Daphnia pulex: one gene and its partner. The protein of the gene in region 2 purifies or fractionates together with the protein of the main gene of each other region. This does not show direct contact. Links are inferred from orthologs where the notes say so. Each region holds a gene or a part of one and is shown on either strand. Other genes may lie near its edges.

The links. Proteins that work in one complex are often made in the same cells at the same time.
Region 1: the proteins of serine/threonine-protein phosphatase 6 catalytic subunit-like (region 2) and serine/threonine-protein phosphatase 6 regulatory ankyrin repeat subunit A-like purify together in Homo sapiens (affinity purification with mass spectrometry; 9 studies listed by BioGRID and IntAct, with this or other methods). This does not show direct contact. The link is inferred for Daphnia pulex from reciprocal best matches to the Homo sapiens genes PPP6C and ANKRD28.

What each region holds. Positions count from the first base shown.
Region 1 is NC_060017.1:4,293,210-4,297,232, reverse strand, and holds the start of serine/threonine-protein phosphatase 6 regulatory ankyrin repeat subunit A-like, read right to left. Parts: upstream 2,801-4,023; 5' UTR 2,634-2,800; coding exon 2,607-2,633; intron 2,429-2,606; exon of another isoform or gene 2,410-2,428; intron 2,339-2,409; coding exon 2,105-2,338; intron 2,030-2,104; coding exon 1,839-2,029; intron 1,777-1,838; coding exon 1,593-1,776; intron 1,488-1,592; coding exon 1,272-1,487; intron 1,209-1,271; coding exon 1,144-1,208; intron 1,076-1,143; coding exon 978-1,075; intron 666-977; coding exon 138-665; intron 69-137; coding exon 1-68. UniProt on the Homo sapiens protein: Regulatory subunit of protein phosphatase 6 (PP6) that may be involved in the recognition of phosphoprotein substrates. Involved in the PP6-mediated dephosphorylation of NFKBIE opposing its degradation in response to TNF-alpha.
Region 2 is NC_060019.1:6,997,070-7,000,399, forward strand, and holds serine/threonine-protein phosphatase 6 catalytic subunit-like, read right to left. Parts: upstream 2,119-3,330; 5' UTR 2,047-2,118; coding exon 1,975-2,046; intron 1,676-1,974; coding exon 1,580-1,675; intron 1,515-1,579; coding exon 1,307-1,514; intron 1,246-1,306; coding exon 1,166-1,245; intron 1,076-1,165; coding exon 617-1,075; 3' UTR 501-616; downstream 1-500. Other genes in the region: probable 28S ribosomal protein S16, mitochondrial, read left to right, coding at 2,189-2,290, 2,422-2,574, 2,639-2,779; alpha-amylase 1-like, read right to left, coding at 3,078-3,089, 3,161-3,316.

The sequences.
Region 1 (4,023 bases), on a different chromosome or scaffold from region 2:
GGTGTGACCGTTGCTATTGGGTATCACAAAGTGTTTCAACAGCACATGTAAGGCTCCATGCTGTCCACCTATGTAGAATAAAAAAAAAATAGTAAACATCATTTGTTATTTTTCCGAACAACTCTGGGAATGCAAACCTGCCGCAGCGTAGTGAAGTACCGAATAGCCTTGCTTGTCCAAAGCGGAGACGTCTGCTTTGCGTTTCAGTAAATATTCTACACACTTGCCGTCGGTGTCCATAGCAGCGGCGTAATGGAGGGCAGTTGCACCGGTTGAATCTGTTAAATTTACACTGGACCCCACACTGACTAAAGTATAGACGCATTGGAAATGAGCTTGACTTGCAGCATAATGCAATGGAATCCGACCAAAGGAGTCGATCAAATTAAAATCAGCTCCACTACTGATAAGTAAATCAAGGCATTCAGCGTTTCCTTTAAAAGCACACAGATGAAGGCATGTTCTTCCGCAATCATCTTGAGCATCTAATTCACCACGGACTTGAAGGAGCTTTCGACAACATTCTACATAGCCGCTGAGGGCTGCTAAGTGCATTGGAGTCATGCCACTACGACCTTTTCGGCTAGGATCAGCCCCGACGTTGAGAAGCACGCCAATCAATAGTTCGTGCCCGTGTGCAGCTGCAATGTGTAGGGCAGTGCAACCTTAAAAGGAAACCAAAAATAACCATAATAAATACGAGGTGTTTTTATTCCGATGGTTTTGACCAGCGAATTAATATCTAATGAGAAAATAGTCAACAAATAACAAATTACTTTATCACTAGAATTATAGCACAAATTTCTAATGGATTAGCGTAAACCGATTGCTTAGAATACCTAGCTGTAGCTTGTCTATATCCATTTAAAAACTATGTCGAGTGAGTAATTAATGAATATATAAAAATATGTGTCAACTCATGACAAGCTAAAAAATATTAAGATGATTGAATAGTTAAAAAAGAAAGATAGTGCAACCTTCTTTGTCTCCGATATCAACTAGCGCTCCTCGATCCAAAAGCATTTGTGCTCTCATAAATCGCCCGTGAATTGCGGTCATGTGTAAAGGGGTGCGCCTAAAATCAAATGAATTTTACATTGTGATTTATGTTTCCATGCTGTTAACAAAGTGATAAGTTAATACCCGTCTTTAGCTTGAAAATTTATATTCGCATCTCGTTCTATGAGAAGGCCCAAGCAACGTTCTCCCTATGTAAGAATGTTCAAAATCAAACGTAAATTGTATTCATCTAAAGTGATTTTTCGGCTTACATGAGTCGCAGCAGCAGATACATGAATTGGAGTCTGCCCTGCTAAATTTACAGCACTGACAGAAGTTCCTGATGCTATGAGATCCTGACAGACCAATTCATGTCCGTTAAGACAAGCTGTATGAAGCGGAGTGTTACCGAATGAATTACTGGCATTAAAATCGGCCCCCGCTTCTAGGAGTTGTTGCACCACAAAAACTTGTCCACTAGCAGCAGCCTAATTCAAATTAATGGGTGTTATTTCCGTGAATTCTCATAATTATTTGGCGGAACTTAGAGTTAGTGGTAAAACATGGTAAGACAAATGTTATTGGGAAATTACCGCGTGCAATGGCGAATACAAGTCTTTATCTCGTATATTTACTTCAGCTCCATTCTGCAGTAAGATTTTCACGACGGACTCATGACCCATGTAAGATGCCCAATGTAGTGCGCGTCTATCTCTTTTGTCGAACGCATTCACCGAGGCTCCATGCTCAATCAAAAGTTCTACCAAATCACAGTGACTAGAAAAATGAACAAAATCAGTTAGGGAAACTAAACACATCACAGAGATCACAAATCTCACCCATTAAAAGAAGCATGATGCAGTGCTGTACGACCTGTTCTGTCAGAAACATTTACAGTAGGAGATGAAGCGAGTAGGGCTTCAGCACATTTGTAAGCATTATTACAGCTGGCCACATGTAAAGGAGTCTGCCAGTTTTTATCACGAGCATTGGTATCAGCATTATACTTCAGCAAAACATTAACTGCATCCTGCAAAATAAACCAAATATGTGTAACTACTAGAGAAAACTATAAACATTTATCATCAAATCATTATTTTGTTACCTCATTTCCTGATTTGCAAGCTCTATGTAAAGGTGTAAGCCACTTGGAATCTTTGATATTTATTCTTGCTCCCTTTTGTATTAAAAAGTCTGTGATGTTGGCATCACCTTTGAATGCAGCAGCATGCAACGGACTGCGTTTTTCTTCATCTTGATAATTGATGTCAACATTTTCCTTCAATAGATTTTTTATTTCGTTGAAATCTCCTTTGAAAATTGCTTGAACAAGAAGAGGCTGCAAAAATGCAAATTTACGTCAGTCATATTTAACTAATAATTTTAACATAGCAACATAATTAGTGTCACTTAAGTTGTAAAGCGATTTCATCTCAACCGTCGAGACACTGGTACTTGCGTCACAACGTTAAAACTGAAACAGTTTGATGCATTTTGAAAAATTGAAAACAAAGTAAAATCAAAATACTTTGTTTGTGAATATTGAATACTTTAATCGCACGATTTCTGTTAATTATTGACACAATTCTGTCTGTAAGCAAACTCACTTCATTATTAAGATCTAAGATAACCATTTCAAACAACTTTCCGGTCTCGTTCACGAAAAAAATTGAGAAAGGAATTTACATGAGTAACAAAACCACATGAAGGAAGAACCGGAAGAACTAAATGGTTTTGTTATGTCGTGCGCCACCATGCACCACCGTGGTGTCATGAGCAAAGCACAGCAGTATGATACGTATATACGTGGGATGGTCACGTGTCTATCCAAGGGGAGGGGCTAGTTTGGAAAAATCTGGTCTCTTTGAATTTCTTCCTTCAAATTTTCAAACCAGCCAGTCGCCAGCGCCATCTCTGGAACTTGCCATGCAGCGTGTAGACCAGGTTCCTAGCAGACGTCAGGTGTGCTAAAATGACAAGTTCAAACTCCAAACTGTCATCAAGTTTGATTTGATTTGACATCGATTTGTTTTTGTGTTCGCTACTCGGACCAGGCTTTTATCCCTTCATTAATTAGAAAGATATAATCTAGACTAACCCAAGAGGGACCGGCCGGGCACGGCAATTCTTCGTAATATTTAAATGAAAGGAGAGTGATAATAATCCGTTGCTTTTCGGATGCTTTTATTTCGTGATAACATACAACACGGAATTCAAATATGTGGACATAGATATTACAGCCAATAAATCAAGGACATCTCTATTCAAATGTTCCTAATATTTTGAAAAAATTAAAATGTTACGTTAAGGATTTGGAATATTCGATTTCCCGATGTGTAATTCCTTGGCGCAAAACTACGTCTTTATGAAATAATAGTGTTAACCATATAAAAATTATACAAAAAAAAAATAATTTTTAAGAAAGATTTTCTTTGCAAATATCAACTCAAGGAAAATAACTGACACGCGAAATATGTTCTACTAAAAGGAAGGAGAAAACACAAAATGAAAAGGTGTGACTGTTTGAGGAACTAAAAAACGACTAACGCAGGATAAATACTTTAACAACAATTAAGCGTGCAACACGTACTGTCCAATTAAACATATTACATAATTGTTTGTTAATTAATTTGTGTTAAATGTTTCACATGATATAATTTTGTATGTTGGATCACGCAGAATGGAAAGTACCGAACTTATGCAAACTAACGTCTATAATTCAATATTAACTTGTAGTTGATAAGTCGATCTTTCGAAACCTTTCCTTTCGGTCGTTTCACAAAAATAGTTAGTGCGTTACTGTGTATTCCTACGTGTAATAAACTCATTTTTAATCAAAACAATAATAATAACGTTTCATAGTTTCTTTTTGTTTCTCGTATGTCCCTATTCAAGTTCAGTTCTTTATTACCCAGCCATTTAATTTGTAAAAAGGTCTTTAAAAATCATATAAAATATTTAAAAAAAAAAACTCTGTCATCTAATCGTTACTAGTCTGATTTTTTAACGGTTGAGGATATAATT
Region 2 (3,330 bases):
GCGAGAAGCTGCTGGCGTCGACTCGTGAGGACTAAAGTAAAATAGCCTCCAGCCATGCCGAGGTGAAAAATGAGAGAGAAGAAAGGTGAAAAATGGGAGGGAGAGGGGGCGATCTCTTTCAAGGAGGATTTACTGCCCCAGGCGATCTCGATTCGTCCGATTGTTTAGCAGTTTTTTTTTTTTTTATGTGTAACAACAGTGCTCTCTTATCAAACAATGGTAAAAGTCGTCTCACAATCACAATCTTTTTGTAAGGAAAAAAACAAAAAATGAAGTAATAAATTCCCGGAGTGGGCGGATCACATTTTTTGAATTGACAAATATAGCTACTCCAACGCCATCTAGCAACCTTTTTACTGACTTGGTAAATTTTAAGTTGGGAAATCTTTTCAACTTTTCAATTTTGCCTGGCGAGAAAAAAATGGAATTTTGTACAAAACTGACACTGAAAAGTAAAGGAAACTTTTTTGTCGTCTCTCAATGTGCCAGACACAATAGGACAGCAGCAAAACAGCATTTATTGACTTTAAGGAGGATTGAACTGATTTTACATGTGTTTATTTATTATCAAAGAATGCAGAGCAGTTGGAGAAATTTCGGGCTATGTTTTTAAAACTCACAGGAAGTAGGGCGTCGTTGTGTATGGTGGGATAACACGCTCACTGTCGGGAACAGCGTTGAATAGTTTAGGCTTACGAGACTTGTCTTCGTTCAACGCCAAGATACCAGCCACGTTACCACAGCGGTAGCAGTAGTTTGGCGCTGACCAAACAGTCACCAGCTTGTCGTCGAACATGAATTTGTAGCCTTCGTGAACCAATTGGTGAGCACGACAGATCAGCTCTAATCCGTTGAGATGCATAAACTCATGGGTGACTCGAGAGCCGAAAAGCCAGCCGGCACCTCGAGGGCTAATTGTCCAAGTTTCCACATCCTCAGGATCAGACCACACTAGGTCACAAAACGCTCCTTTGTGCGGAATCTCCTGATTTCTTTCGATTGTGCGGATCTGATCAAGCGTCCGAATAGAAGGGGAAAGGCCGCCATGCACGCACAACACTTCACCATCAATTAACTATAATGAAGAAGCCAATAGAAAAAAAAATTAATAGAAAAATAAGCAAATTAATATTAATAAAAGATTGCACCAAAGTGGGCTATTTACCGCAGCAACAGTGAGTAAATCAAATAACTGGCAACAATATCTCCATGCATTTGCATTTCCATATTTGTTCTGACATTCATCTAGAGCCAAATGTTAGCAATCATTAAAGATGAAATGAGTCTCAAAAATAATTTGTGGTACCATAAAAGCCATAGACTTGAGTGATTTGTCTGGATTCATGGTTTCCTCTCAATAGTGTGATCCTGTCCGGGTATTTGGCTTTTAATGTAAGCAACCGTGTGAGGGTTTCCAAACTATAGTATCCCCGGTCAACAAAATCTCCAAGGAAAACATAGTTTGTGTCTGGTACTTGTCCACCAGTTCGGAAGAGCTCTTCCAGGTCATAAAACTGCAAAAATAATTACTTACAAAGGATTTATCCATATAAATTGAAATATTTAAAAAAAAAAATACCTGGCCATGAATATCTCCACAGACAGTAACTGGAGTTGAAACATAGTGTACATTTGATTCTTCCAGCAACAAGTCACAAACCAATTCACAAAGTTTCTGAAGATAAGAAGAAAAAAATGATTAAAGAATAATTTCTTGACATGAACCATACTGACAGCTTAAAGTCCTCGCTTAGGAACAACCAAATGTAAGTGAAATCACATTTTTAAGTGTTTCACAAGTTTTATTGCATATAAATCGTTTTGAAATACTGACGACAAAACCATGACAAAACTTCTTATGTAAGGTGTCGATTGGCAGGAGAAAAGACGCGTATTACAGAAGTTCTACCACGGTTTTCACGTCCTTAATTGAAGCACTATTAAAAACTGTCAGCATGTTATCTGTCAACTCACCTTCATTTCATTTTCAGGTAGGTATTTACATTCGCGGGCTATATCTATCCATCTGTCTACATCTGCCACCATTTTTCTTCGTGACAGAACCAATTAATTGGAGAGAACTTTTCTTATAATTTCGAGTCGACTTTCTTCTAGGCCAAACATTTGACGTCCACTAAGAACTGTCGAAACTCGTCAGTAGCTGTCGCTCCTATTTTTCAGTTTCATCATGGCGTCTGCTATTCCCACATTTACAAAAATCGGCAAAGTTATTCGCTTAAATAAACATGGATGCACTAATCGACCTTTTTACCACATCGTCGTTCAAAAGGTAAAACAAAAAGGTTACATCTCACATATGAAAATATCCATTACTTTGAAAAAGAAACTATAAATACTATGTAAGAAATGATTGGATGGCACGTCTAAACTGTCGCGTTTTGGTTTCTCTTGAATTTATAGACGAGGGACAATTTTGACGGTCCAGTAATTGAACAGGTTGGCAGTTATGATGCCATGCCCAACAGCCAAAATGAAAAACTAGTCGCTGTTAATTTTGAAAGAGTTCAATACTGGCTTGCTCAAGGAGCGGGGATGAGTAATCCTGTTGCACAGGTGAAATTTTTAAATGCTAGGTATATTGATCTTCAATTTAAATGCTAATTAAACTATTCTATAGCTCCTTGGTCTCTCTGGATTTTTGCCTAATCATCCTCAAACTCTGATTCAGTCTTGGAAGAACAGACGAGAACCACCTAGAGAAAGAAAATTACAGCCTATCAAAGGAATTGCACCTCCTCTTGACAATCCCAAAATTTAGTTTGCTGTATTTTTCATTATATAGTCAGAATAAATCATTTTGTTAAAGTAATTTGTTGACTGGTATGTAGGAAATCATAAATTTTTTTAAAGCCCTTGCCAACTGGCTTTTTTTCCCCTCTCTTTTGTAGTAGACAAAGTAATTCAAATAGGATATTTGAAAATCAATTTTTGAAACTTTTATTTCACACAGTTTGTAAATTGTAGGGATTAGACATTTTTTGCATTAATCAGTTGAACACTCGAATTTTTTAAATTTTATCCATGATGTAATATTTAAGGATCCTTTGGAGTAGCGTTTACAACTTCGACTAAAAAAAGAAAAAATGACAAAGGTTGAGACTTGTCTACTGCAATAATAATTTCATTCGCCATTTATTACCTCAACATGAATTGCTAGTACTCCATCATCTTCAGCATTGCCGATACTGATCAAAGCCTTGCCATCAGAGCCCACTGTAACTGATTTGCCTGTGCACTGTCCGTTGACCAAGTTGCCTGAGATGATGTCGCAGTACGTTCCAGCCGAAAGACATGTCTATTAATTCGTAG